Alligator mississippiensis: one gene and its partners. The protein of the gene in region 4 interacts with the protein of the main gene of each other region in a pairwise test. Links are inferred from orthologs where the notes say so. Each region holds a gene or a part of one and is shown on either strand. Other genes may lie near its edges.

What was found.
Region 1: the proteins of BANP (region 4) and PPIF interact in binary tests that used the Homo sapiens proteins (3 or more experiments, as listed by UniProt). The two-hybrid records come from large-scale screens. The link is inferred for Alligator mississippiensis from reciprocal best matches to the Homo sapiens genes BANP and PPIF.
Region 2: the proteins of BANP (region 4) and LENG1 interact in binary tests that used the Homo sapiens proteins (3 or more experiments, as listed by UniProt). The two-hybrid records come from large-scale screens. The link is inferred for Alligator mississippiensis from reciprocal best matches to the Homo sapiens genes BANP and LENG1.
Region 3: the proteins of BANP (region 4) and FOXM1 interact in binary tests that used the Homo sapiens proteins (3 or more experiments, as listed by UniProt). The link is inferred for Alligator mississippiensis from reciprocal best matches to the Homo sapiens genes BANP and FOXM1.

What each region holds. Positions count from the first base shown.
Region 1 is NC_081829.1:33,534,912-33,542,801, forward strand, and holds the start of PPIF (peptidyl-prolyl cis-trans isomerase F, mitochondrial), read left to right. Parts: upstream 1-4,885; 5' UTR 4,886-4,963; coding exon 4,964-5,131; intron 5,132-6,742; coding exon 6,743-6,773; intron 6,774-7,637; coding exon 7,638-7,726; intron 7,727-7,890. UniProt on the Homo sapiens protein: PPIase that catalyzes the cis-trans isomerization of proline imidic peptide bonds in oligopeptides and may therefore assist protein folding. Involved in regulation of the mitochondrial permeability transition pore (mPTP).
Region 2 is NC_081828.1:38,487,623-38,495,042, reverse strand, and holds the start of LENG1 (leukocyte receptor cluster member 1), read left to right. Parts: upstream 1-4,420; 5' UTR 4,421-4,598; coding exon 4,599-4,730; intron 4,731-5,405; coding exon 5,406-5,588; intron 5,589-6,456; coding exon 6,457-6,728; intron 6,729-7,007; coding exon 7,008-7,224; 3' UTR 7,225-7,420. Other genes in the region: TMC4 (transmembrane channel-like protein 4), read left to right, coding at 161-327, 423-549, 666-763, 1,065-1,248, 1,460-1,590, 1,862-2,017, 2,292-2,370, 2,682-2,732.
Region 3 is NC_081827.1:143,899,539-143,906,736, forward strand, and holds the start of FOXM1 (forkhead box protein M1), read left to right. Parts: upstream 1-4,196; 5' UTR 4,197-4,368; coding exon 4,369-4,741; intron 4,742-6,554; coding exon 6,555-6,706; intron 6,707-7,198. UniProt on the Homo sapiens protein: Transcription factor regulating the expression of cell cycle genes essential for DNA replication and mitosis. Plays a role in the control of cell proliferation. Also plays a role in DNA break repair, participating in the DNA damage checkpoint response.
Region 4 is NC_081833.1:74,474,544-74,482,519, forward strand, and holds the start of BANP (protein BANP), read left to right. Parts: upstream 1-4,960; 5' UTR 4,961-5,067; intron 5,068-7,976. UniProt on the Homo sapiens protein: Controls V(D)J recombination during T-cell development by repressing T-cell receptor (TCR) beta enhancer function. Binds to scaffold/matrix attachment region beta (S/MARbeta), an ATC-rich DNA sequence located upstream of the TCR beta enhancer.

The DNA of each region.
Region 1 (7,890 bases), on a different chromosome or scaffold from region 4:
TGACAGAGAGCAGATTCAGGCTGGATGTCAGGAGGTGCTACTTCACAGTCAGGGCGGCTAGGATCTGGAGCCAACTTCCAAGGGAAGTGGTCCTCGCTCCTACCCTAGGGGTCTTTAACAGGAGGCTAGATAGACACCTTGCCAGGGCCATCTGACCGCAGCATTCTTTTCTGCCTGTGGCAGGGGGTCGGATTTGATGATCTGCTCAGGTCCCTTCCGACCCTACCAACTATGAAACTATGAAGAAAACCAACCTCACAAATATATTCAGACAGGTGTCCCACAAAGGCCATACATTACCATCTGCATATGCCTCTAGAAACATGCAAATAGTAACATTGCCTTTAAGCAAAAATAGGTATTGAAACTCCAGCAATAGCTGCCTACTATTCCTTTGATGAGTTCAAGTGTTCATGGCCACAGTGAATGTTTCTGGATGAAGGAGTGGTAGCAAAGGTCCAGACACTGTTTTGGCACGGAGGAAATGGGGGAAAAAGCAGAGTAGCTTGAGGAAAAGTCGTGTTGATGCTGGATTGAAGAATCTTTTATCCAGCAGTTTGGGCCCTGAGAGCCATAGAAAACTTCCCAGAGAAATCCCTATAAGCTATATTTGCATCAGTGCTGCTTGAAAGTCAACACTCAGGTGTTGAAGCACTTAGCTTTTGAAGCACTGTGGGACTGTACCGGACTCCTCCCAGGGGCGAGAGCCCCCGGATTTGCAGGCCAAATGAGAGAAGGTTGCTGTTGCTGGCAAGTGCCAGGAGTTGTGCTTTGAACAGTTTGAGCTGCAGTTTCCCAGAAACCTCTGTACCTATCTCCTTGAAACTTGGGTAGGCTTCATGCCCTCAGAAGGGGCTACCATCCCGCAATTTTCATCCAAATCAGGCAAGAAATTACAAAGTTTTAGGCATTTTCATGATTACCCATTATAGCCTATGGGCAAAACGTCAAAACACGTTGAAACAGCAGAACTGTTGTGATGAAACGAAACGGGACAGTGCTTTGAAATGAAACAAAACAATGAAACAAAACACTGTTCCTTCAAAGCGGTGAAACAGGTGTCAAAACAAAACAATAGTTTTTCGCACAGCCCTAGCATCCACCGTTCTGGACAGTGCTACACTGTAGTAATAGAATATGGAACTCAATTGCAATGTAACTAGCAGATAAGCCCAATCAAAATGTATATGCATTTACAAATATTTAGAAACATTTAATGGGTGTGGCAGGAAAAATTTATGCTGGTTTACAAAAGGCCTCATTCTGCTACCAGTAAATTAATGGGAGTGTTACCTTGGATTTCAGTAGAGCAAGAATGGTCTGGAATGAATTGAATAAAAAAATGCAATGTACATAATTTTAAAATAATGTCTTAAGTCGGGTTTAAAAAAACCCCCAAACTTTTCATTATACACTACAACCTGAAACACTATGATATGCTATTATGACACACTGACTCAGCACCCGTTATAATAATGTCCTAGGTAGAAACAGGAAACTGTACAGTATTATGAAAGCATTTTAGTATCCCAGATACCTGTGGAGGTTTCTAGAAGTTTGTGATGTCATACACATGTCATAGGCAGGTGGCTATGAGCATTCAACATCCATCTATTTATAAAAAACATTTCATAATAGGTAATAAAATGCTCCAGGCAGCACATTTCTAAAGGTTATTGTACATGATGGGTAGCTAATGACTCTTTGTGTTTGATCTTGTGCTTCATGGCACTAGCTAGGGCATGTTATAATGATAATCAATTCAATAAATTACTCTTCACATTTTAATGCTCCAAGTGTCTCATGCAAAGGTTGTCCTGGGATTCATATAAAATTAGTTGGTAGCTTCTGTTCAGTTCTTTGTGGGTGGATTCCCAAGTCCTTCAATAGCCACTCTCACATTTACTCTTCCATCTCCGAAAAATGTAATGATATGTTTTGTATCATGGTTGGTCACTACATGTCCAGGTTAAATCACCTCATAGAGAAGTTTGCATCAACAATATCACTGATTTGTATTTGTACCCCACTTCTGGGCAATTTAAATACAATGCTTATTATAAACCTAATACATACTACTGATCAGCAGGGATCTGGGTTTTCTGTATGTCACAGGAAAACATGGACATTCTCCTTTAAAGGAGAAAAACCCAGGAAATGATGGGTTCCCCCTTGCAGCCTGGTAGAGCCCTGTAAGGGGCTTTTTGGGGCTGGGGGGAGTGGGATGCAGGGGGCGCCACCATGAACAGCGCGTGCCCCTGGCGGCTGGGTGAACAGGTGATATGGAGGGGGGAAAGGGGGTACATGCCCCCCCCCCCCGATTTCTGTGTCCACAGCAGGTCACGGGGCTGCAGCTGGGCCACACCAACTCCAGGCAGGAACTGCCTCTGCAGCCCAGCAGGTGACCGAGCACGAGATGAGGTGCTTCCTGCCTGCCCAGCAGCAGCAGGGAACAACTCCACACCGTCGTCATGCCTCACGTTGGCAGGCATGGCAGCACGGTGTTCCATTTTGTGCCAGGTCCTGCCCATAGGGCTGTGGAGGTGGCTCCTGCCTGGAGCTAGTCTGTCTCAGCTGCATCCTTGCACCCCGCTGTGGGCACAGAAATCTGGGGGGGGGGGAGAGGAGTGTGTTCTCTCACCCCTCCCCAAGTCACCTGTGGCTCCCCAACCCTCCTGATGCATCACCTGTGCTCACACACCCCCTTCCCCACAGAACCACCGCATTTCTTACACACTGTGTGGGCTGAAGGTGAGGGCCAGTGCTTCAGAAGTGGGGGGCACCAACAGGGCTGGGGGGGTGGTCTGTGGGTCAGGAGGGGCATATCAGGGCTTCTCAGCATCACAAAGCAGGGGTGGGGGGAGAGACAGCCACAGCTGGACCTGCATCCTGGTGAGCTAAGGGGGCAGGGGGAGCTCTGATTTTCCATGATAAAAAAAACAAAATCAAACACCAAAATATATAGGTATTTAGAACTGAATTTATTATAATGATTGAGGCACTAATAGGCTTCCAAACTGCTTTTAAATTGTAAATATATCAATAAGACATTGTATTCAACTGATACCTGTATATATAATGATGTTTCATTTTAAGCACGAAAACTTGCAGATTTTGATTTTTTTAATCAGAGAATTAGGGATTTTTAAACAGAGAAACCAGGATCCCTGCCGATCAGTAAATTAGTTAAGACTCTTGCCACTGAAATGTGAGTGAACTATTAACTGCAGAATTGGGGCATTGGCAGAACATCTTAAATTTCCTCTTTAAAACTTAATAATGTCTGCTATTAATTTTAATTGATAGAATTAATCTCCTTTTGTCCCCTCTAAAAGTTTCTGTACTGTCATTTGACAACTCCTGGGAATACTGTTATTGTATATGGTGGGAACTTAAGGCTCTCCTGTCACCACAGCAAAAATAGACAAGAATTGAGATGCAGGAAAGAGCGTAAAACCCTAGACTGGATGATACTGCTTTAATCTGAAACATAACCTACTGTTATATTATCAGAAAAATTAAATCTATTTTCAGTGCCTCAGTGCAGGTCCTCTGGACAGAACTGAATTTCACCTTGAACAGCTGCAATTAAGGAGGAACTTCTGAGTTCTTGCCCCAGTTCTGATTGGGGGGGGGGGAGAACCTCATGTTTCTTATTCCAAAGCAGTCAGTCTCAATCTGGGGTTCTCTCAACTTTTTATAGAGGGACCTGAATTTTAAAACAGAGGTTCTCACAGGTATCTTTTGTACCATTCAGAGATCTAATTCCTGTGATAACTATCACAATTAGTACTGAGTGGGTGCATCTACACAAGACACTACTGAGCAGCAGCTCGTTGCTACTGTACAGTCTGTATCTGAAAAAACTATGTGAGCAAAGTACTAAATGATTGTGCAGCAACAGCTGCTCATGCCTCTGTTTTAACTATTTTGTGTAACAGTTGGAAACATAGTTAAGGATAGTGACTGTGGGGTCTCGATCAGACAAGAAACTGAGATGCATGTCACCTCCCTGCTGATGCACCTCTCCTGCGAGAATGTCCCATACCTTTTTGAAGCTAGCTAAACCTTCAGCTTCCACAACATCTGATGGCAATTAGTTCCACACTTGAATGATACACTGTGGGAAAAAGACCTTCCTTCTTTGGGTTTTAAACTTACTACCAGCTAGTTTCATTTTGTGACCCCTAGACCCTGTAGTGCAAGAGAGCGGAACTAATAAATCTATTGTCTTTCTCTTTGCCATTTAGTATTTGGTAAATCCTTGTCACGGCCCACCTCAGGTGTCTCTCTTCTAAACACCCTTCAGGGAGCGAGCGCTGGAAGCCCGCTGGCTCCGCGAGCGTTTCAGGATGCTTGGCAAGACCGGCCCCGCCGGTGGGCAAGGACTGACGCCTTTGGACAGGGACGGTCCAGCTCTGACAACTGCAGGGGCCTGCTCCATGTGGCCAGTGCTGGGGCAAGGCCGAGCGTGAGCTGGCGGGAAGCGCAGGCCACCGGGCGCGCTTTGTTTCTCTGCGCAGGGCGAGCCGCAGCACAGCGCAGCACTTGGGGCCAGAAAGAAGTGTCAGCCCCCCGGGGCTGCGCTGCCGCACGCTGGGGCGAGGGTTGCTCTGGAGCGGGCAGGCCCCTGCCTGGGATCTCTACTGCCCGCTGACACCGGGGCAGAGCAGCACGAGGCTGCCGGTGCCCTGCGAGGGCGCGCTGAGGCCCAGCCAAGGCCGCCGCGGGCGGAGGAAGCACTACGCAGCCGGGGGGCCGGAGCCTCCCCCGGGCTCCACGGCCGCGCCCCGCCCCTCCCGCACCTGGCGGCCGCTCGGGCCCGCCTCCGCCCCCCGCCGCCAGGGGGCGCCGCGCGGCTCCCCGGGGAGCCCTTAAAGAGCGGCCGCGCGGCACCGCCGGCACTTCTGTTCTGCTCTACGCTGCATCTCGTCTTGCCTCGCTCGCTCGCCCCGCCCGCAGGATGCTGGTGCTGGGTGCCGCCCGCCGCTTGCTCGCGGGGCGCCCGCCGGGCTCTGCCGTTGGCCGCCTGCTGCTGCCGGGCCGGGGCTGCAGCGCCCGCGCGCCCAACCCCGTCGTGTTCCTGGACGTGGAGGCGGACGCCAGCCCGCTGGGCCGCGTCGTGCTCGAGGTGACCTTGGCCCGCGCGCCGCGCCGCGCCGCGCATTGGCGGGGGAGGGGGCGCTGCCGCGGGCTCCGCGCCCGGGTGGTGCCGGCTCCTTCCCGACGGGCGCGGGGTCCCCCTGGCCCTCCCGGCTCCCCGCTTCCTTCCTGTCTCGGTCCTCGGGCTCCTCAGCCCGAAACTGGGCTCCTGCTCATTGCAGCGGGGGAAGCTTGTTCAGCAAACCTGAAAATTAACTTCGCCGCCTTAAAGGCCCGGCCAGAGCAATCCTGGTTCGGGCTTCTCTGCTTGAAGCCCTGATAGATGTCGCGTCTCCCCTGCGAGCACAGGAAGGCCGAAATGTTTGTCCTTCAGCATATGGTGGCAAGGCACTGAGGTCCATTGGGATGGCTGGCAAGAGAGGTTGCTCTGGCCTTGTCGTGCACTCTTGCATCCACACTTTTGAACGTGGGATTCAAATAATTGCTCCAAGAAATTAACAAAAACCAAGTAGACTAGAGATCAGTGATTAAAAACAAGTGAACCATGTGTAAATACTTCAGTTGCAGATGGAGGGTCTTGCACTTGCCCTCATGAGACCATTCTTAGTGTTTGGAGGGTGTTATAAAGAGAGGACTCTTTCTGACTGAAGTTAAAGCTGTTGCATTGTTTTTCCTGACTGCATGGTTTCCCAGAGACTGTAATTAGGAGGCAATATTGTTAGTCCAGTTAGTGTTATGGGGTTCCCACATGGCTCATTCCCCAGAGCAGCAGTTCCCAATGTGGTGCCTGCATGTGCCACGGCACCCTGCAAGGTTTATTCAGGTGCCTGTGCATATGTTCACGATCAGTAAAAATCATGATTCCGGCAAAAATGCTGTCATATTGGTGCCTGCTGCTTTTTCTTTTAAACTCAAATGTGCCCTTGGGCGCACGAATGTTGGGAACCCCTGCCCCAGAGGATATGGGTCTAAAACACTCCCAGCTGGACCAACCATGATCTTTAGCAGCTCACATCTCCACTCTGGAGCCAAACAGTTCAGTTGCCACTTCCCCAGCTGTCACAGCAGCCACCACACTGGACTTTGTGAATTTGATAATGCTTATGGCTTCAAAATGATAGCTGTAGTTGCGCTAATTTGAGGTCTGAATTGATCAAAAGATAAGATGTAGCTGAAAACAAGCAAGTACATTTGTGTACCAGTCTGAAAAGATGGATGCTCACCATTACTTGACTTGAGTAGATTTTGTTAAAAATCTGGTATCTCCTCCAAAACATGAATGAAGTTGGTTATAAATACAGATGAGCAGCAGTAGAAATCTGTTTAAATGTGATCTGTGTCTGTCCTAACTTAACTTTTTTTTCAAAGACTGGTCACTGCTGGAAGTTACCTAGTTGTGGGGATAATTCAAAGTAGCTTTGAACAGTGAGCTGGATCCAAGTTATGAGTTCATAACATTCATGTTGTTTTGCTAATTGTAGTTCTTAAATACTGCTAAAACCAATCTTAAACAGTGCAATGAATTTCTTTCTCTTCTTTCATCCTTTGCTTTCCCTAGTTCAAAAGTTATAGGTGTCTTCGGCTTTTCCTGTATCTTGACATGTTTTATATCAAAGGTGACTTTGTTTTGTTTCAACAGCTGAAAGCTGATGTAGTTCCGAAGACAGCAGGTAAGAAAGCATCTTAGAAATTTTGTCTACCTTTGGCCTTTTAAGGTTTTGAATACAGCTAAGAGAAGTTCAGTTTCTCTTTCAGTTTCGTTAAGAGAATTTTTCAGAAACTGGAAAAACTTGTTCCAAAGTTCTGTTTTAAATGTAGAAAATATTTACATGGCATTTGTCCCAAAAGCAGTTTGATGCCTCACTTTTAATGCACGGGCAAGTGAGGGATGTGTGTGCGTTGCCAAGGCTGTCCAAACAAGTTTTAATACAAGGTTAAAAAAAACCCCACAGTTATCATTTGAAATGCAAAAAAGAAGAATTGTGGAACTGAGATGATGCAGCTTGAGGGGCTGTTAATGAGACTGACTTCCCCTTTCTTCTATATATAGAGATACAGAAATCGGTTTGTGAAGGTAGTAAGCAAGATCGGTTTTTCTTTCTTGTGGCTACTTCATGATCTCCGTGCATTGGTTTTCTTATTCCAGTTACTCATAAACAGATGGCCACAAGAAAAATGCTACCATTACAATTTTCAAACAGAGAAAACGTTTAAGAGGCATGGAGCCCGAACTCTGATTCCTAAGGATGTTTCAAGCAGGAGTGAAGGCACATAAGTGAAAAACGCATTCATGCTCTGTACTGTGCCCTATTTGGAGGGTAAATGGAACATCTCCAGGGCTGTAGCTTTCAAAAAGACACGATTCATTCATGCAAAACAAACACTTAAGCTATTAATAATCTTTTTATTTGTATTAGACTGTAAGAATGTTAACTTGGGACCTAAATTACTGATAATCCATTTTTACTGAATCCAAAATAAAAAGATATTGATGTTGATGTTACAGGGTAGTGACTTACGTTTTGTTTTGACAGAGAACTTTAGAGCTCTTTGTACTGGTGAGAAGGGTTTTGGGTATAAAGGATCCACCTTTCACAGAGTGATTCCTTCATTCATGTGCCAGGTAATGTAACTTTCAAATATTTCTACTGAACTTTAATCATGAATTTTTCCAAAATAAGTTTCATATTCATTTGCGGTACTTTAGAAAGGATGCTTTTCTTGTGTATTAGAATACTACTATAGCAATAATACTTGTATTGCTATGCTCTGTAACCTATTAGCTGC
Region 2 (7,420 bases), on a different chromosome or scaffold from region 4:
TCCCAGCCCTGCCCTGGGCTCCCCCAGCCCCACTGGCACCCCTCACTGCCATGGACAGGGCTGGTGTCCGCTCCCCAGGGCACTGCAGCTGTCAGGGGGCATGGGAAGGACCTGCTCTCGCTGAGGGCTGTAGTTACCTCCCCCCATTTCTCCCCTGCAGCAGAGTGTCGCACAGTCCAAGAGCAAGGCTTTCTGGGAACTGCTGGTCTCCTACCTGCCCTCCATCATCATCACGGGAGCCAACCTGGTAGTGCCTATGGCCTTTGGGGTCCTGGTACGCCTGGAGCAATACCCGTTCAGCCAAGAAATCAAATTAACCCTTGTCAGGTACCAGGGATGGGAGGAGCCCTGCCACATCCTGCCTCGTTTTGCCATTCCATGGCCCCTCTAACCGCCTCTGTCTTCCTCCTCTGCCTGGACAGGAGTGTCTTCCTGCGCCTTGCCAGCCTTGTGGTCCTGCTTGTCTCCCTCTGGATGCAGATCACCTGCCACGGGCAGACCGAGGCCTTTGATTGCCGTACCTGTGGCTACAACCACCAGCACTTCCCGGTGAGGCCAGGGCACCTGGGTTGTCTCCCAGCTGGAGAAGTGGAGTCGGTTAGAATAGAGAGGCTGGAGGGAGCAGACTTGACTGCAAGACAATGCCATGATGTGTCTCCCCACAGTGCTGGGAGACCCGGGTGGGGCAGGAGATGTACAAGCTGCTGGTGTTTGACCTGCTGACCATGCTGCTGGTGACACTGCTGGTGGAGTTCCCCCGCAAGTGAGAGGGGGTGGGACCTGGCAGGACAGAGGCTGGGGGATGAGCTGTGGGTTGGAAGGGCTGTGGAGAGTGTCCAGGGTAGGGTGGAAATGACTGGGGGAACTTGTAAGGGAGAGCTGGAAGTGGGGACTGGAGAAGCTTGTAAGGAATGAGCAGTTGGGTGTAGGGGGAGGCTGGGCTGGGCTGGGCCAGGCTGGGCAGGGAGGGTGTAGTGGGGTTCTGGAGAGTCAGGGCAAGGAGCCCATGGGGCTGAGTCAGAGAGCAGAGGGCCAGGCCCTGTCACCTCATCTCCCTCCCCCAGGATCCTGGTAAGCCACGGCCCTGTGTTGCTTGCCCGGCTTTGGGGGCAACAAGAGTTCCTGGTGCCCACCAATGTGCTGGACCTGGTGTACGGCCAGACTGTGTGCTGGGTCGGTGCCTCCTTCTGCCCGCTTCTGCCCCTGCTCAACACCCTCAAGTACATCCTCCTCTTCTACCTCAAGAAGGTGCGCCCCAGATGCCTGGATCCTCTCCTGGCCCTAGGAGGAGCGGAGGGGTCTGGTGGGTTAGAGCAGGGCGGTGGGGCCTGGGAGCCAGGACGCCTGGGTTCTGTCTCAGCTCTGAGAGATGAGTGGGTTAGAACAGGGAGCTCTAGGAGCCAGGACCCCTGGGTTCTCTCCTCCCCTGTGGACCCATCCCTTTCTCCCCTCCCCACAGCTCACCCTTTTCTCCAACTGCCGTCCTGGCGACCGGACCTTCCGCGCCTCCAGCTCCAACTTCTTCTTCCTACTGGTCCTGCTGCTGGGCCTGGCCATCTCCTGGGTGCCGGCGCTATACAGCATCTTTGCGTGAGTCCAACCCCCACACTGACAGTCCCACCCTGTTCCTGCTCCCCTCTCTGATCTTCCTGTGCCAGGGGGAGCAGGGGTTGGGCAGTGGCATCACTCAGTGCCTGGCTTGTTCCCCAGGGGCTGAGTCCTGTCACGCACCCCTGCCTGGTTGCTACAGCCCCAGTTCTTTTCACTCCTTGCCTAAGGGCCAAGGTCCTACTCTCTCCCATGTCCAAGTTTTCCTCTCCTCTCCCTGACCAGTCCCCCCTCTCCTCTTTCTCTCATGCAGCCTCCCACCGTCCCAAGCCTGCGGCCCCTTCCGGGCTGAGTCATCTATGTGGAATGCTGCCTTGTTGGCCATTGACGGGCTGCCTGAGCTGGCCAGGGGCTTCTTCTACTTTGTGGGCTCACTGGGCTTCATCGTGCCACTCTTCCTGCTCCTGTGGTGAGAATTTAGGCTAGGCTGAGGAGGGCTGAGAAGGCTGGGGAATCTCCCTCGGCTGAGAGTACACAGAGAGCAGGGATGCTGTGGGGATGGTGAAGGAGTTATATACGCATGTGCACAGGTGCATACCCACACACATGCACAGCAGCGCCTCTCTCCCAGTCCACAGAGCTCCCTTTCCCTCCTCTCAGTACCCCCTGCCAGGCCCCTGCCCAAGCCATCACTTGATGCCAACCCCTAATTCAGTCCCTGCCGGTCCCCTCCTCCCCCACAGCATCTTCCTGTTCTACCTGATGGCTCTCGCTGACTCCTACAGCCGCCTGGTCAAGGAGCTCAAGATGCAGCTGCAGCTGGTGAGTCACATCCTGGGGCTAGGGCAGGGTTCTGGCTGCCTGGGATGGGGATGGAGAGGGGTACATTCCCCTCTACTGGCTCTGATCTGGGATCTAAGCCCCAGGAACAGCACTAACCAGCAGGACACCCTGAAGAGTGAAGCCAAAAGCTTCATCTTCTTGCTGCTGACAAGGAAACTTCCCCCATGGGCATAACTGTGCCTGCTTTGACCACTAGCCAGGTTCCTGGACCTGGCATACCAGGGGAGGTGGGCCCCTGAGATAATTGAAGGCAGCAGTACTGACCCAGCTGGGTTTCGCTCCCCTTGCAGGAGGGCAGAGACAAAGTCTTCTTGGTGAACCAGATCACAGAGCTGAGCTGAGGGGGCACCATTTGCTCCCCACCCCCCTGCTGATGGGGGAAACTCTCCTCCAGTTGATTTCATGATGATTCTGCACCTGCCCTGGATCCGCACCTGCCAAAGCAATTGCACTTCCCCATGCCAAACCCTGGCCCCAGTGGATGGAAGCTGCAGTCACTGGGACAGCACCAAAGTTTTTGAGGCTGTACGTAGAAATCTCTTAGCTGACCCCGAGCTGCAGCCATCTCTGGGGTGGGGCACGGAGACCTGTTAAGAAGCACACAGTGACACTGCTCAGTTTAGTCCTGGAAGCCAAGGAAACAGCTATACGTCAGTGGTGCTCAACCTATGGCCTGCGGAGCTCCCCACGGGTTTGGGAATTTGGCAACAGGGAAGTGGTAGCAGCGTTAAGGGCTGCAGCTCCGGCTGCCACCGTTCCCCCTGGTGCCAAATATCTAGATCCATGGGGACCCCCCCGGCACTGGATGATATGGATCGCACCCATGGACTGCCCCTGTGCTGGATCAGCCCCACAGACAGACCACATGCGTGGGATCCAACCCATGAACTGGCCCCGTGCCATTCATCCTGCCCATCAGAGAATCACCAAAAGCCATAGAAAAGTTGGGCTGGACAAGACAGGCTGAGTTCTGCTGCTGTAAGTGCCTGGAACAGCAGGGTGAATAAACAGGAGGTGAAATTCAACAGCTGGGAACCAGAAACAATCAAACCTCCATCCATACCCAGGTGAAGTCCATTGGCCTCCAGACGTTATGGGTTTCCCCAGGCAAGCTGTTAGCAGGGATTGTGGACCACAGCTCCACTCCTCCCCGCTGTGGCTCTTTGCAGAAAATGGTCCCCAAGATTTTTTTCCTTGGACTCTGTACCCTACACCTGCCTTTCCTTCCCCAGGGGCAGCACTGCCCCAGCTTCACCAATCACATGACAGCTTTCTCTCTCTCTCTCTGTCAACCGGAGTGTTTTTTCACCCCCTACAATTGGCCACGGCTCTCTGTGGGCTCCTGAGCTGCTGGGGGCCAAGCGTCACCAGCAGAGACGGGTGGTAGGGGAGCAGTGAGAGAAGGGGAGAGAAGGACTCTAGGACCCTGGGGTTGCTACAGGGTGCGCTACCGGGCTGCTATGCCGCGACAGGCACTGCCACTCCATGGGATATGCCATGGCATTACCACATCGCAACTCAGCCTTCACGCCTCTGGGAGGGAAGGACACTGAAGGGGAGGTTTGGTGGGCGTGGGCACATGTGCACACACATGTATGTTCATGACCTGGATCTGGCAGCGAATGAGTGATCACCCGCAGCAGTGACCTCAGGCCTCCCCTAGGGGCCCTAGGGTGGAAGGGGGCTCACGTGGGGGCGGGGCCAGGAATGTGTCAACAGGCAGGAGTAGTAGGATCCAATCAGAAATTACATGGTTCTGGGTGGGGTTTGGTCTTGTGGTTCCAATCAAGGGGCTGTGGCAGGGGGCGTGGCTCTGGTGCACCAATCAGGGACGAGGAGGCTGGGCAGGGAGGTGAGGAAGCCAATCCAGATAGGGAGGTGAGTTAAGTGGGTGTGAGGAGAGAAGGGGCAGTATCCCGGTGGGAGGGAGGCGGCTTCCGCAGGCCAATCAGCACGCACGCTGGGGCAGGCACGAATTTGGTGGGGGGGGGAGGCGGGATAATCACGCACCAATCAAGGAGCGCACAGTTTTGCTCTCCAATCAGAGAGCGAGGGCGGAATCCCTTGCAGCCAAGCAGACATCGCGCCGAGGGGAGTGGGGGGGACTTTAGTGCACCAATGAGATAAAGAACGCAGCAAGCCAATCAGCCAGTGGGTTCGTGACCCGGAAGCGGAAGCGACGGGAGAAGCCTACCTGCAGCACAAACATGAACATCCTCCCCAAGAAGTCTTGGCACGTGCGAAACAAAGACAATGTGGCCCGGGTGCGGCGGGACGAGGCCCAGGCCGAGGATGAGCGGCAGCAGCGGCAGGCTCGGGCCTTGCTGGCCGAGCAGGAGGTGAGTCACTGCGCAGGCGCGGAGCCCGCCCCCCCCCGGGCGCATGCGGGTTGGTCACGTGACTCAGATGGCTCGTGCCTTAAACCATTTTGGAGGGATGTTAGGAGCAGAAATCTGAGCCAAACCATTTCCCGAGGGGGCGGGGCGCAGAAAATCGCTGGGGACTAAAGTGCGGGGAGGGGGAGAGGAGGGAGCTGGTTTGAACCACTTCTGAATTGCGTCAAGGATAAAAGAAAAGTGGAATAAACTGTACTAATGGCAGGGGGAGAGAGGAAAGAAGCTAGATTGTACTGCTTCCAGCTGGGGGGCAGAGGGCAAGGAAGAGATCCTTCCCTAGGAAGTGCCCCCCCTGAGGCTGGAGGGGGAGGCCTCTGGGCCACATTCCTTCTTCCAGCAGTGTGGATTTCAGCTCCCCCGTTGGACAAGAACCCCAGGGCCCTGTGGGCTCCACGCTGCCTCCTCCATGTCTGCAGCTACCTTTGCCCTTGGGTGACATGAATTTGTGGAATCTCAGCCCAGATCCCTGCTGCCTTTATTATGCACAGCAGTAGTACCCCCCAGCTGCCCTGGGGCTGGCCCCCTTCCCCAAGGCCCAACACTGAACGAGCCATAGAGTCCTGCAGGTCCTGGCCCTGAACCCCCCTCCTTCCCTTGACAGCCGTGTCCCCCCTGCAGGCACGGACCAAGTTTCTGAGGAAGAAGGCACGGCTCTTGGCCCTGCCGGAGCCCGATAGCAGCTCGGAGCTGGCCCTCTGCGGTGAGCAGCCACATCACGTCGACCTCTTCCGTGACCTGGAGGATGGCAAGGGCAGCAAGGCAGGGAACAAGGAGTATGAGGAGGAGAAGCTTAAGGAGAAGGTAATGAAAGAAGGTTGGCACATCTGAGGCCCCAGGGGACCTGATCGGACACCTGTGGGGATGGGATGCCCCCACTCATAAGAGCTGTCATTGACTGGGTCACCCTATAGGTGCATTGTGCCCAGTCCCCTGCATCGTGCAGGCAGAGTGCAGATGCTGACGAGTAAACAGGGCATGACTAGGGCTTTTCCCATTGTTCCTCTGTTGCTTGCAGCCTCCCAGCATTTGAGGTCCAGGAAGCTCTGATTCACAGGCTATATTGCTAACTCCCAGGCTCAATAGCTACTGCTGCACTTTTCCTCCAAGAACTTGTCCAGTTGCTTTTTTAATGTGGCTGTCAGCTTCCACTACATCTGCTGGCAACGGGTTCTCAACTTGAGTTGCACAGTGTGTGAAAAAGAGGTTCCTTTAAACTTACTGCCTGCCACTTTCATTTTGTGACCCTTAGTTCTTGTATCATGAGTGACAGCAAATACTAAATGGTGAAAAGAAAGTAGACATGGATTTATTATTTTGTAAACCCTTCTCATGTCCCCTCTCATGCAGCTCTCTTTTTAAGTTGAACAGGCCTAGCTCTTTAGTTCTCCTCATATGGAAGCTCTTCCATACCACTCTGGGGCTCTGATGGGGCAGGGATGTGACTCCACTGTCCATCCCCCCTGCCCCGATTACAGCTGTGCTTGGCCATGGCCCCACAGCATTTGCACCCTGGTGTGTCCATCCCCTACCCCTCAAAATCTTAGAGCTGTATCTCCCGAGTACGGGCCTCAGGCCTTGAGGCCAGTGGAGGGAGTATCCACCCCCATAGGCTGCACTTAAAAAGAATACCCCTCCATTCAGACTCCTATCATACCCCTCCCATGCACAGGAGCACCAGGAGAAGGCCATTGGGCTGCTGACATATCTGGGACAGAGTTCAGCTGAGGCCCAAACCAACCCACCCTGGTACCAGGAGGCCCCAGACTGCAGCAAGGAGGCAGCTGACATGGTCAGGGATGAGAAGCTGAAGGGGAAGCTGGACCCCCTCATAGAGATGGAGAAGTACCTGCGGAAGAAGAAAGGGGAACAAAAGAAACACAAGAAAGAAAAGGAGAGGCACAAGGAGAAGGACAGGCGCAAAGAGGAAAGAAAGGGAGTGGGGTGAGTGGGACATGAGCAGGGCTGGATCCTGGTATTCGGTTTACTGGAGCAGGGCTGGGCCTGTGCTGTAGACTTCTACCTACATATGCCAGCAACTTCAGGCCACAGGGCCCACAGCCTGTCACTCCTTTCTCTTGTCCCTATAAGGGGTGGGAGGCCAAGTGGGAAGTCTTGTACTGCTTTCCCTTCCCCTCTTCATGTCCTGCATACCATTTCTGCTCCCAGCCAGCCCTCACTCCAACTGTCAGGAGGATGTTAACCCCTTGCTTTTTATCCCAGGACCTCTGGCCCCACTTCCCTGGAGGAGCTAAGGCAGGAGCGGCTGCAGCGAGAGAAGGCAGAGCGAGCCAAGGCAGAAGCCCTGCTGGCTGGGATGCGGGGAGGGTCAGTCAGCTGCAGGGAGGAAGTGGAGATGGACGACAGGAGACGCTGCTACAATTCTCAGTTCAACCCACAGCTGGCCCGGAAACCCCGGGACCAGGAGGAGCAGCGCTGAGCTGGGGTGCAGAATGGGGGCTTTGGAGCTCTAGACATGGAACTGCCTGAATAGGCACTATAGCAGGGCCAGGGCTCCAAGGACAGAGAATGGGAAGGCTCCAGCCCTTCAAACCACAAGGATGTTTCTGTTCCAAGGACACAGGATGTCTTTTTTGTTACACCTCCCCTTAACAATGCCTCCCTGGACTGGCAGG
Region 3 (7,198 bases), on a different chromosome or scaffold from region 4:
GTTCTGGAGTCTGTATATCTGGTGGACTGAAGATCTCTAGCTCTTGAATAGGAGACTGAGAGGTTCTCTCTCGAAAGCTCTTTGGGTTGCTGGCTTTTGTTGCAGAGCCTGTCTTGGGCTGGGCATGGCATGCCTTTGCATTAGTTTTGGAATGCCTTGTGCAGGTACAGGTAGAAGTTTTTGGATTCTCAAAAGTTAGAGAAGGAAATCTGCAGACAGCAGGTTTCTGACCAGCTCCTCCTCCTTGAAGGAATCCATAACTCTTTTCCTGGATCTGGAAGTTTTTGGACACATGCTTTTGCTTCTTACCTCCCTTGCCCTTGAAGCCCATGGGTAGAGTGGCTTCAAACTGCGGGGACACCTGAAAAGCCAAACAGAGATGGTGAAAAACCATTCTCTCAGATGGGATAACCCCTCACACTCCTTGGCTCCTCCACAAGGAAACAGCAACACCATTCTCACTGCACTTCCCCTTTCTCTAATGTATCTATTGATCTTCATTTGAGAGCTGCCGTTGCCTCTTCCAGCACGTGGTCTAGTTTACCGAGATTTCCTCAGCTGCAAACTATGTTCGACACTCAAGACAGCATGAAAAATTTGGAGGCTCACATAGCCACAAAGTGCAGTTCTACTCTGAAATGCAGTTTTAAATGTGCTATCTTCTCTGAATATACTTAAATGCATCTATTTTAGTGATAGAATAAATCTTTAATTGCTACTGAATCCTCCACAGTTCAAAGAGCAGGTTGGATTCTGTTTCTTCTTGTGTTTTACAAACCACCAGTCTTGTTGATACAACCAGGAAGACAAAGCAGCAGCACAGGTGTAACTGACACCAGAATATTAAAAGGCAAGTCACCATGTTAGCCTCAAGCTAGGCAGAAGCCAATCTCTAAAGGTACCACCACCCTGTCCTGTTTTCTGCCAGAATATTGTAGGTGAAGGATAAGTATTAAAGAGGCCTAACTGGATTCTTAGACCCCCAGCTGAGGTTGTTTCACTGCACAAAACACATCTTATTTATAAAAGGGACATTTATTCTGCAGTAATGGAGACAAAAAACATAGAATCCACACAGCCATTTTTAGAGACTTTTCAAAGAAGACTTGCAATTCAAAGTTTTTTTTTTAATAATTAAGTCACCTATTATAGGGGTGAATTCTGATATTGTATTCTTAAATTACTCTAGAAACCACCAGTCTCTTTCATGCATTAAATTACTGCGCAACATTTCACAAGCCATAACCTAAGTCAAACAGGAAAAAAAAATGGCAAGTACCTATCCCACTGTTTTCGAGATTTCCAATCAAAACAATTGGAGGATACACAGGTTCTACACACAGGGGACTGCAGACCCCAGGAAATGTTTACGACTAGGAGATTCATGCAATTGAGATTCAAGTGATGAAATGAGGCCTGAGACCTAACTTGGGATTCACTATAAGTAGTCAGGAGAAGTCAGAGGAGAAGTTAGCCCAATAACTGCAATACTAGTTACCCAGCCATTACTTCTCAGACATCTCCAGATATTGGGATATTTTCCAATGTGTTCCAGATCCACAGTGATTCTCTCTCATCTCAGCAAGTGCTTTGCTTATTGATTTAGAAGCCATATAGCTGACTGCCTGCAACATGTTTAAAGTTGATCTGCTCTGAACTTCTTTCCGCCCCCCCCCCCGCAGCAAACAACATAGAAATTGACCTCAAATAACTCCAATTTGCATGGCTGGTGGAGTGTTCAAATGTATACTTGAAACCTCACTCCTTGGGGCTGCTTTGTTAAAAAGTTTTGAGTCCAAAGTAGCAATGCTATTTAGCAGAGCTGCCCAAAGTGATAGCTGCAGCTAAAACCAAGGCAGTTCCCACAGTACAGCAGCACAACTATTTAAAAATCTTTGCACAGAATGGCATCATGCAGGCAGTGCAAATGACTGCAAGACTGAATAAAACGGACACTGAATTGCCCTCTCAGCCCATGGGAGGGGGACGCTGGAAGGAATGCATGGAAAGAAGATTAAAATACAAACTGAGCTGGGGGAAGGGGAAGGGTCAAATGTACCAACCTTCCCTTCCCTTGCAACTACAGCTCATTACAAGGTACAACATCAATTTTAACTCCATGCCACAGACATCAACAGTCCCTGGTTTATTATTGTATGAATGACAGCAGAAAAGCAAGCTGTTAAAGTAGACATAAAAATAAATGCTAAAGAGAAGAACTACAGTTAGGGGCATACAAAAATGGAGCTAGCACCTTAACTGAACAGCAGGGATCCTGGTTTTCTCCGATCAAAACAATCCACAATTTTCAGATTAAAAAAAAGTAACCAAAATCCACATTTTTCCATGATCAAAATGAAACACTACTATATATAAATTAGTGGCATTTCATTTTAATCACAGAAAAATGTGGATTTTGAGTTACTTTTTTAAATCTGAAAATTGTGGATTTTTTTTTTTAAACAGAGAAAACCAGGATCCCTGTTGAACAGGCAGGTATTACTTTAGGCATAGCTTTCAGCCAACCACACTTACAGCACAGTAGCTATTTCAAGTATCAAAAAAAAAAAATCCATAAAATAAAAATGAAAGAATAAATATTTTATTTTCTGTGCACAGGGTTTTGAATTACTATAAAATCCATAAAGCAATTTCTCTTTCTGGATCCCAGTATTCAATGTCATTATGCTAATGTACATGACATGGAGTTCTGTTTCATTGCCAGTGGCCCTAAAGTATCATTCAGTACCTGAAGTGGCAATAAAGCTTGAGCTGCTTGTGACTTGCAAGAGTGGGCTTTGGAGCAACTCCGAACTCTACAGCTAGTTAAACCACAAGGAAATAAAGAAAAAGCACCCATTTATTGGCTCGTGCCAATATCCAGTACAGATCTCTCCATTACCTTGTAAAAGAGAAACAAAACAAAACACTGTATGAAATGAAGGAGCAGGAAACCTGTACTTACCCACTCAGTAGAGGCATTCTGGTCTACGGGTCTGGTAGGAACACATCTTGGGTTCTCAGCCAAAGGAAGAGAAGACCCATAATGATGAACAGATCCCTCCCGTGGCCTCTCAAGGAAGAGCAGCTCTGGCTTCTTGGCCTTGCGGGTGCATTTTTTCTTTGGAGGCATCAAAAGGCTTGAGGAAGCCACTTAGAGACTTCATGATGCTTGCTGGAGCTAGTCAAGAGAAGAGGAAGACTTCTCAGCTACTCCCAGATCTGCAAAGAACAAACGGAGGGACCTGAGGCCACCAAGCAATCTTGAATTTCTTTTAAAAAGTAATGCTTCTGATTGTGCCTAAGCTCTCTGAAAAGAACTGTTTCTAATGAAGACTGGAATAATAAATACATTGCTCTACAGACACAGAGCTAGGCTGGATACAAATTGATGACTTTTTCAGTTTAAGTTAGAAATGGCAACCTACATTAATCCCTACATTGTTGAAATCCTTTAAAACAAAAGAAAATAGTAACGTGGTGCACACTGCCCACCAACACTTTAATGTGAAACCACCAAACTAGGTGGCTACAGAAAAGTTTGCTGAAGTGCTGCGCCAGCTTCTGTGTGGGTTGCCTCTTCTGCACATACAGAGGCAACGGTCTTTTCTTTGGTCCAATCAGTTATTTATTTGTTCACGGCTGAGGAACCAAAGTAGACACTTACTTCCTTCCCCAACCTACATATAAAAGCCGAGGTGGGCACGTCTGAGACCCACCCGTGCTCAGCGTGCGGCCCCCGGACCCACAGCACCTGGCCGCGGGGCGTTCGGCTGCTGAGGAGCAAGCGGCCGTTAATGTCGCCACGCCCCCGGCCCCGCCCTACTGCCCATTTTCCTCATGCCCCTTTTCCCTCAGAGCCAAACGGGGCAGGGCCACACCTGCGTACCCCTGTGCGGCCGGATCGGAGCAGCGACCCGCCCCCTCCGCACGTCCTTCCTTTGCGGGAACGAGCCCTACCGCCCCGCGAGAGCCCGCCCGCAAGAGCCCCCAGCGTCAGCCGGCCCGGCACGGGCCCTACCAACCCTATGGGCGGTCCTGCCCCCCGGTCCCGGCTTGGTGGCTGTTAGTTGAGCCCCGCCCGCGCCACCTGCCTCCGGGTCCGCACCCCCTCCCATCTGCGTGGAGCCGCCGCGAGCACTGATTGGCCGCGCCCCGGATGGAACGCTCGGGCGCCCTCCCATTGGCCGCGGCCGGCACGTGACGCCAACGAGCAGCCGGGCGCCAAATTCAAACGGAGACACGAACGGCGGCGCCAGGGGCAGCGCTTGAGCCCGGAAGCGGCCGCGGACCCCCCCCTCCCCCCCACCCGGCCCCGCGGGGGAGGGGCCCGGCTCGGCCCATGGCGACCGCCGGCGCGGGTCCAGCATGAGGAGCAGCCCGCGCCGGCCCCTGATCCTGAAGCGGCGGCGGCTGCCGCCCGCCGCCCGTGATGAAGCGCCGCGACGGGCTCCGGGCGCGGCGGCGGCGGAGCTGGCGGGCGCGGGGATCCGCGTCACGGCGCACCCGAGCCTGCCGCGCACGCAGGTGGTGGCCATCCCGCCCGGCGCCGACCTGCGCAGCGTCATCGAGGTGCTGACGGCCAAGGGCAAGGGCTGCGGCAGCGACGGGCCCACCAAGTTCATCCTTATCAGCGGCGGCGGCACGGGCACGGCCTTGGCCTCTGCCCCCAGCCCCGCGCGCCGCCTGCCCCCCGGCGGCAGCGACCCCGGGCCCCCGGGCCAGGGCCAGGCCGGCAGCAGTACGTAGGCTCTGCGCGGCCTGCGGCGGGCGGGGGTGGTACGGGGAAGCTCCCGGCCGCGCTTGGGGGCAGGAGTCCCGGCCCTGAGTGCCGGAGTCTTAGTGGTCTGTTTCCCCCCGGGGCTTGTTGGGGCTGGCGGTACAGGCTGGGCACTCCAGACAAGCAGAGCAAAGGTTTTTTGGAAGCTGGGCTTCAGGCTTGCTAGGAGATGTGGGGCTGGAGCCAGGTGGGGAGCTGGGCACTTGACATCACTCCATTTTAGTCTAGAGAAGAGGGGACTTCATAGCAGCCTTCAACTACCTGAAGCGGGGTTGGACTGTTCTCAGTGGTGACAGAATGAGGAGCAATGGTCTCAAGTTGCAGCAAGGGAAGTTTAGGTTGGATATTAGGAAGAATGTTCTCACTAGGTGGGTAGTAAACACTGGAGCAGGTTACCCAGAGAGGTGGTGGAAGCTCCATCCTTGGAGGTTTTCCAAACCTGGCTAGATAAAGCTGTCTGGGATGATCTAGTTGGGGATGGTCCTACTTTTAAGCAGGGGTTGGACTAGATGACTCCTGAGGTCCCTTCCAGCCCTAATTTTCTATGATTTCTATGAAATGCATAGCTAGAGATACCAGGAAAGGGAGATCTCTGTTGCTTTTGGACTGGCAGCTGCGGCTTCTTCCTTGCTACCCCCTCGTGAAGAAACTTGGTCCGTGCCACACCAGGGATGAAGGTTATATTTTCTCAGCTTGGACTTGAATGGCCATTTGGGCTTCTTCCCCATGGGGTTACCTCAACCACTGCCTGCTGACAAATACACTCTTCTAACAAAAAGAAGCCTCTGTCTCATGTGTGTGCTGGTAGATAAACTCCCACATGTGCAAATGTGCCTCAGTACAGGTGCTCCACAGTCTGTAGGTAGTAGCTCTGCTGCTGCATGTGGCTCTTAGACTAAGGAAAATAAATGTATTCACTTTTTGCTACTGCTGTTCAGGGCCCTTGCAGACAGTCAGACTTTAGTGCTCTTGAGAATCACATCAACCTGGGGCAGATGCTGCAGGTTGGCAAAGCTGTGAGCAGCAGGCAATGGAGTTGCTTACATGGAGAAATGAAGTTTGGGAAGGAGCAAGTGGGATGTTTTCACCTCCTTCAGAATGGTCAAGAGCCCCTGGCAGACAGGTAGAATAGCAACCACTTTCAGCAGTTTGAGAAAGGAAAGTTGAAAAGACTTTCTTCCTTTTCCAGGCATTAGGGGATGGAGGAGATGGAACAGTTCACATGGAACAGTTACAATTTGGGATGTTTGTGAGCTAGAACCTGAGGAAAGAGGTGGTGCTCAAGTAATTGCAAGAGGTCAAACTAGAGTAGGAAGGCCAGCACCCTTCTCCCTCCACCACATGCATCCCTGCCAGGAGCTGAGCTCATTAAGGTCCTTCCCAGGCTTCTGCTGGTAGAGTGCATGTCTTTATTTCTCATGGCCTCTGTTGCTAAGTTTAGTCCTCTGGCTAGTACATGCCTGAATTTCTTTTTGTTAAGAGTTGCTTTCAGCAGAAACTCATTTTAGTTCAAGGAACAGGGTGGGAGGAGGGATTCCAATTAAAGCTAGCTTTTTAGGCTTGAAGCTACAAATTGGGAGTAGGGCCCATCCATAATTAAACCACAAACTCTGGCTACTTCCACAAGGTTGTTTAGCTTTGTAGTGCTATTGTGTACCTATGTCTTAAGGGGGCACTGAAGATACCTTTGAGGTTCCTGGTTGGGGTGTCCTTCAAGGCATCTGAGATGTATTTGCAGATAAGTGAGCAATGCTCTGGGTCGATTTCTCTGCAGGCAGTGGAGAGATGACAAGCTGTGCATTGGATAACAGCCTAACTAACATCCAGTGGCTGGGAAGGATGAGCTCTGATGGCCTGAGTCCTTCCACTGTGAAACAAGAGATGGAGAAAGAGAACCAGACCCCTGTACAGGTGGAGGGAATCAAGGTAAGAAGCACTCTAGGGATGAAAGGAGTAGAGCATAAGATAGAGGAAACCTCTGGAGAGGGGAAGGAGATGGGATACATAGGTGAGAAACCTTGGAGGCGACAGACATAACACAAGCCTTTTCCCCATGGAAGGAGGGTGGTTAATCTGGTGAAAAGAAACCTGAGGGGGAATTTGATAACAGTCTTCAAATACAAAGAATAAGTTGCTTATAAAGAAGACGGAGACTCTATCCACTGGGAACAGGACAATAAGTAGTGGTCTTCAATTACAAGATGGGGAAATCTAGGTTAGAAAGTTCATCCTAATAACCAATCTAGGCAAGTTAAACTCTGGAAAAGATTATTTGAAAAGGTTTTGGAATCTCCTTCACTGGAAGCTTTTAAGCATGTTAGACAAATACTTGGATGAGGCATTTTAGATAGGGATGCTCCTATCTTGAACAAGGGTTTAGACTAAATGACCTCCTGTAGTCCCTTCCAGCTCTATTTT
Region 4 (7,976 bases):
CATCCCTTCCGGGAGATGGGTAGGGTTGTAATGGCAGTAGAGTTCAGAGAAGTAGAGATCAAGACTAAGGGGGATTAGCAGAGCAACGGGGACAGTACTGGAACAGAGCAGAAGCTGCAGGTTGGAATTGAAGCACACTGGACAGGGATGAGTAGGGTGTCACTCGCATGGATATTTTATATGTACTGTCCGTTCACATGTACCTCAGTCTCAGGAGAGCAGATGTATACAGGCCAATATATGGCCTCCTTCCTGGGCCATCTCTGATTTTAGTTGCATGTTACAAAGGTTTCACCCACACCAAAGGAAAATATCATAGCAGGTATGTCTACATGTTCATTAATGTGCTTTTGCTAATGCGCATTAAATTTAGTACCTCCATTGTGAGGTACTAGAAAAAGGAGCATTAACTTATTTTAATGCACTTTAGTGAAAGCGCATGGTTTTTTTGGTGACGTTGTAATGCCCATTAAAAAAGGCTAATGCGCATTAAAGCACACATGTAGACGTGCCCAGCAGAGGTGCTGTAGCTGATGTTCTGCACCGGCTCTGTTCTCCGGTTGCCTCTCGAGTTTTTGTCATGCCTTTGTTTTTCATCTGCTGACATCCACATGTTCAGCAATGGATCTGGATTGTGAATGCTGGTCATTTGTTTAAATAAATGGCTTGGAAAGGGACATACCCTTGTTTGGCAACCTTTGATCTGTTGATGGTATGGTTGCAAAATTGTGTGCACAGAACGTTAATTTTTTACCTTTGATTGTATGCTAGACCTCGTGTGTGTGTGTGTGTGTGTGTTTTAACAACAAGAAAAGGAAGCTGATGAATGAGATACCAAGTCCATGACAAATATGGAGCTCCATGTATAAGCTGTAACTAAGGCAATTGCCCAAGAAACTATTTCAACTAGAAGCTGAAATGAGGGGCAAATAAACTGGCTGTTATCTGTGACCACACAATTTTTATAACATTGTGGAGAAAAGTTACTACATATATATATATATATATATATATATATATATAAAATGCAGAGGGCCAAAATCTTGCTGCCAAAATTTGACCATTTGAATTCAAGTAACAGAGCAGGTATTGTCATCTGAGCTGGGATAACGAGTCACCTCCCACTTGAACATATCTGTTTCTTAAGAAATAGAGAATGAAACTCATATATGAAGATTCACAAGTTCTTTCTCTTTTGTCACTCTTCTAATGAAAAGTCACAGGTGATAAGGAGAGACTTAAAAACTGACAACCAGTTTTTAACATCCTGTTTTGCATTTCAATTAATGTATACCTATACAGTTATTGTACTTTAGACAATACTCCAACAATCACTGCAGACATCTCCTCCACCTGCAGATGGTGCTGCCACCTTATTTTACCCTGCTATTTTTTCATGTCCTAACTGATGGGTGGGAGTTGGGGTGGGGGTGCAGAGTTAGAAATTAGCTCAGCCCTCCCTGTGTATGCTGGAGTTGTTTGCATTATTTATCACAATAAACTGTTTAGTTTCTCGTACACAAATGTTATAATTAGTGGCAGCAGCTTTAAGACGATTTGTCCTGAAATGCAATGTAATTATCACACAGATAAGATGGGGCGCTGTGAGATTTCACTCAACGTTGAGCTATTGCTCTTGGCGCGTGAGTGGGTGCATGAGAAAGCAGCAGAGCGCTCAGCAGCATTTTTGGATCATAGTGCCAAAAGCTTTTGCCAGTAGTTCCTCGGTACGGATGGTGGGTCTTACAGACCATAACAGAAACAAACATCTGGCTGCTATGAAGCAGGTATTAGCCTTTTGAAACACTGAGAGAGAGAGAGAAAACCAGAAGACAGGAAGGAGATTTACTTATTATTAGAGGTCTGCAAAGTCCTGCTGTTTTGAAATTTCTACTTGCATGTATATGTGAGACTAATAACAGATATGGTTATCTAAAAGCTATCCACTCAGCTGTAAGGAAAGAGGACGCTCCAGCAGAAGATGCAGATACGTCAATAAAATAATACTCCATTCCCCTAGAGAGGGGTATGGGCAGGGGAGGTACTTGTAGCTTGTTGAAAGTCATGTTTTTGGGGGAGGGCAAAAAGTTCAACATATAAATGGCAGACATTGTGCACTGTATGAGTGCTTTCCACAAACCTGCCACTGTGGTCCACCTGCCATACTGAATCAGGGAGCAGTACCTCTTATGGTTAACATATTGACTGGCTCCTTTAAGGGGAAGCTATGAGATGGCATGTGCCGTCAGTGGCATCAATGTAGCTTAAAACCCCCAAATATTCTCTGAAACCCAAATATTCTTCCAGAGGCACTCATGGGCCCACAGCCTGTGATGAAACAGCCACCACCACCAGCCTGACAGCTGACTTGCCAATGCCACCTTGATTAACCACCTGGGTGGCTAACAGACCTGCACATGTCTGGGGTTGCCAGATTCCTGATAGTGTCAGCAAACTGCTTCTAGTAGGAAAGCGTGGTCCCCCGGTCTCAGAGTTGCAGGCTGTGAGCCAAAACGTGCGGATATGTATCTGTATCCTAACAGCAATTGTATCTGCCGAGAAGAGCACCAAGGTTTTGAACTGCAGAAGGAAGGACTTGTAAACCATGATGTGCAGAAATTCCTGAACCCTTCCTGTCCGTTTGTGGTCATCGGTGAAGTCAGATTATCAGTCAAGCAGACTGATGAGCTTGGCACAGACCCGTGGCTTTTTGAGGTCACAGTAAATGAGAAGGAAACCACTTAATCAGGTACTGGATTCCCTTTCTCTCGTGATTGCTCCCAGGGCTGCTTTTTACAGCTTTTGCTGCCTCCGGCTGCACTCTAATGTGCAGACTGCAAATTGCTGCATGACAGCAGGCCTGTTGATGTATTGCACCTTCCCAACGGGCTACTCTTGCTCAGTCCATTGCTTGAGTCGCACGTTTTCTGCCTCTCTGAGTCTGGGGTCTCACTGCAGCATGTGGTGCGCTGCTAACTCTCAACTTTCTGTTCTCCTTTGGTAAAGACGCCTGGAATCTGCATCTGTGAAGCATGGAGGTGATGGGCGAGAGCCCTCCGTGAGGCCAGTGAGAGGCAGGGGAGAAACGTGTTGCCTTGGGTAACACAAATCAGAAAAGGAAATGATACACTAGTCCAATCCCATCATGCAGAGAAGTGACCCAGGAGGACGGCACTGCCTCAGACTGCATGAGGATGCCGTGCAAACCCCAATGGCAGCATGTGAGAACCCACTGGGTTTCTTCAGTGAGGCATAAAAACCTCATAACGACCATCATGATGTCACATGAAAATGTCATATCAAGTCACGATAATCAGGGTTAGAGTGTGGTGCTTTGAACTAATGTTGCCAACCCTCCTGGATTGGCTGGGAGTCTACCTGAATTGGCATCAGTGACTATTGAAAGCAATCTGGGGGAAGGATATTGTGAACGGGTTGAACAGTACAATTAATGATGACACTAGGTAATGTTGGGAAAAAAACTTCCCGGAATAGCTTCAGTCAGAGTTGGCAAACCTACTTATAACAGGTTTGCATGTTTGAACCCTAGCTGGACTCTCTCTCTTGAGGTCCCTTACTTCTCTACACGGCATCTCTATGATTTTTTGTTTTGTTTTGAGTTGCGCAGATTGGGATTGTGTTTGGATAGGTAAGGCGTAATATGATAGATTTGGAAGGGGGGTGTTATGAAGTGATGTCTGGTATGATATTATCCATGACGTCAAGGAAACATGTGGGATCAGATGAGATGATGTGTTTTTTGGGGGGTCGTGCTGGGTTATTTTCGGAAAATAGAAGGTGCGTTGTTTATAATGATAGAACAATGTAAAGGAACAGTCATTGACAGAATGAGTCAGACAGAATGATGATGAACTTTTTTTCAACTACTCAGTTGATCTAATAAAAGATATCACATCTACTCAAAGAACCTTGCCTACTTTTGTTGCGGTGGGATTTTGAGATGGAATCTGTGTTTAAGTTTTGCTATGTTGTGGGGATGTTTTGTGTTGCGTGGTTTTTATAAGTTTTTGAGTACAGGCAGTCCTCAGACTTATGACACAACTGGTCCTGAAAACAGCATTTTAAGTTGAAACGTCATAACTTGGAACCGATTTTCCCATAGGAACAATGTTATAAATGGGGGATTGGTTCCTGAACCAAGACCCGATACCCTATTTTCACCAAAAATAACCCAGTATTTTGTAGTCAATCACTTATAGATGAGTAATATAACTACACTAATGTCTTTCTATTGTAAATAGCAATCATATTGATTTGGAAGGACTTCTTTGAGGTGACTTTGCTGGACTTTTTGAAGGGCTCTTGGTTGGACTTTTTGAAGGGTTTTTGGCTGTGATGCACTATTTGCAGATTTATCCCTTAGGTTGGTCATCTTGCGAAACGTCTGAAGTCGAGGACTGCTTGTATATTTGTCATTCAAAAAAAAAATCTGGATGATGCAGAACTCGCAGATTTATCCCTTAGACTGGTCGTCTCGTGAATGTCTGAAATCAAGTACAGACAAGGTTCCTTGGATGAATTTGATGTCTTTTATTAGACCAACCCAAATGGTTGGAGAATAGTTATTAAGCAAGCTTGTCTGCCTATGTCCTTAGACCAACACAGCTACAACCTAAACCCCTGAAATCAAGTATTGCTTGTATATTTGTCATTCAAAAAAAAAATCTGGATGATGCAGAACTTGCAGATATATCCCTTAGGCTGGTGTATAGGGCTAGGCATCGGATCAGGTCACTGAGGCTGCAGGAACTACAGGGCTGCCCTTCGGACTACAGCGCCCAGCATGCCCCGCGCCCCGCCCGAGGACTACACGTCCCAGCCGTACAACCCAAGAGGCGGCGCGCGCGGCCCTCTGGGACTTGTAGTCACTGGGACGATGAAGGGCGGCTGCCGGGAAGCGGCGGCAACGCGCCTGCGCGGCCTCTCGGGGAGGGGGAGCGGGTGGCGGCGGCGCATGCGCGCTGGCGCGGCGGAGATCTCTCGCGAGGAAGGACGCCATTATCGCAGCCGCTCGACAAACACCACGAGAATTCGGCCCCGCACACGGTAACCGCGGCCCCCGCGGCCGCCGGCTCGGGCTGGGCTCCCCGGGGGCCGCCCTCCGCCCGGCCCGCCGCTCCCCGCCTCCACCCGCCGCCTCCGGGAGGGCCCGCGGCGGGGGAGGGGCGGCTGCCTCACAACCCCCCCCATGCAGGCGGGGGGAGGGGCGGGGCGGACCATTCCCCCCTCCCCCCCGCCTCCGGCCCGCTGGGCCTGCGCCTGGGCCTGGGCTTTCCTCGGGGGGGGGCCTTCACTGGGCGACGTGGGGGGGGGGCGCTCTTCTCTACCGCCTGGCGGGCTTTACAATTATTTTTGGTGCTTGGTCAGCAATTTTTGTGTCCCCCCCCCCCCCCCCCATTATAAATATGTAAAGTTATATTTTAAAATTATTTTTGGTGCTTGGTCAGCAATTTTTGTCTCCCCCCCCCCTTTATAAATATGTAAAGTTATATATTATATCTCCCACCCCCCCCTTTATAAATATGTAAAGTTATATATTATATCTTTATAAAGGGGGTGGGGGTGTAAAGATGTAAAGTTATATATTTATACATCATCTCTTTATAAAGAGGGAGCTGTAAGGAGGGGGTGGGGGTCGGACAAATGGGCTGAGGTGCCCCCCCCCGCCCCGGTCCCTGCACTGAGCCACCCGGATACATGCCCGTCCCCCCCAACTTTGAAGTGTCGTTGGACTCTTGAAGTGCTTTTTTTTTTTTTTTTTTTTTCTCTCTGTGATGTGGTCAAAACGAGCAGGTTTCTCATCAAAGCCGTGTCCTTCTGTTAGTGGTGGGGAGGCGAGAGCGGGGGGGTCTAATTTGCCTGGGTGTGTTTTCATTTTTTGTATCCTTAAGGGAGGGTTTTCGCAGGAGTAGGTTTTAAATCCTTGTAAATTTCATTTTTTTGAAAGCTGTGTGTTTGTTTGTGTGTGCATGTGCGTGCGTGTCCTGTCTCTCCCCCCAGTGACAGGTCCTGTTGAGAAGTGTTTTTGTTTGGTTATTCCTGGGGGGGAAGTACAGCATTTTGTTTGCTTATTTTGTCTGCAGTTTGTTACTTCTTTAGTTCTACAGTTTACTGAGTTTAACGTGTGTGTGTGTGTGTGTGTGTGTGTGTGTGTGTGTGTGTGTGTGTGTGTGTGTGTGTGTGTGTGTGTGTGTGTAGATATCTACTTGGATATCTATCTACATCTGCCTAGACATCTACTTTCATCCACTTGGATATCTGCTTAGACACCTTCACCCGCTTGGATACTGCTTAGACATCTACCTAGACATCCACTTAGACGTCTACCTAGAGATCTATAGAGAGAGTGAGCTAGATAGGTAGGTATCTATATTTTTATAGTTTCATAGTAGCTAGAGTCAGGAGGGACCTGAACAGATCATCTGGCCTGACCCCCTGCCACAGGCAGGAATGAATGCTGGGTTCACAAGACCCCAGACAGGTGATCGTCCAACCTCCTCTTGAATTTGCCCAAGGTAGGGGCGAGGACCACTTCCCTGGGAAGTTGGTTCCAGATTTTGGCCACACTAACTGTAAAATATTGCCTTCTGATCTCTACCCTAATCCTATTCTCCATCAGCTTATGACCATTGTTCCTCGTCACCCCAGGTGGTGCTGGGGAGAAAAGGACTCTGCCTATTTGCTGTTGATCCCCCCTGATGAGCTTGTAGGCAGCCACTAGGTGCCCCCTCAGCCTCTTCCTGCTGAGGCTGAACAGGTTCAGGTCCCTCAGTCTCTCCTCCTCGTAGGGCCTGTCCTGCTGCCCTCTCACCAAGTGGGTGGCCCTCCTCTGAACCCTCTCCAGGCTGGCCACATCCCTTTTGAAGTGCAAATATATATATATTAATTTCCCATATTTCTGTTAGTCTCATATGCAGTAAAGCGGGGAGGGTGGGGAGAGAAACATTTGCTGTGTAAAATGCCCTGTGCAATCACAAATCTATCAATGGGTGCATGTATAGTAATTGAGATTATCTTTAAGCCCTGAATGCTTGTGTTTTCAGTTGCGTACTTTTAATAGTTTCTGTTCACACCATGAATTTATTTCACTGCATATTAAATGAATGTCCTGTAAAATATAACAGAATGAACAATTCTTAATTGGTCCTGAGACGTTGCAGTGAACTTCCGTAAGGATGCCAGGCCTTGCCTTGGCCAGAAGCTCAGACTTGGGTAATATGCCGAGCTGCACGTCAAGAAGAATGACATGATAAATGTTTAGGGCAGTTAAAAGATTGAATCCAGTTTTGATGAATGGGAACATCCTTTTTGTTTCCAGGAGTGGGCATAATTTTTGGCTGTTTGTCCTGATTTCTGATTTATAATAACAGTAACAGCCTTTTAATGTCTGGATCCAGCAATGTTTATCAGGTGGCTGCAATGCAGACCTAAAATGTTAAGGTTCCTTAAACGAGTAATACTATTATTAACACTCAGTGCTACAGAAATCCAATGGATGCTAATTCACTGTCTGAGATGTTTAGCACCAGTATTCCACCAGTTTATATTCTGCTAAATTATTTTTTAATTTATTTTTTAAAATAATTTTAATTATTTTATCCCAACGCATGTTTCATGGACATCAGTAACGTGTTTCTGAAGCATACAAGGTGTGTGTGTGGGGAGGGTATGTATGTACATGCACACATACCAAAAAGGCATCCTGTCGATGTTCTGATTCTGCCATGATCACTTAGTATGCTTCAACTATCTAAGTCACATTTGCAGTGACTTGTATTGGCATCATGTAGGTTGTCTGTAGCCCTTATTATAATAATCATTTTCTCCAAACTTTTCAAGCTGAGTAACACTTGCCCATGAAAAATGAGGTGGAATCACAGAACATCTGCATTTTCTTTTTATCAGCATTTCCATGGTCTCGTATTTTTAACTGAAGTAGAAATTAGGTTTGGAAT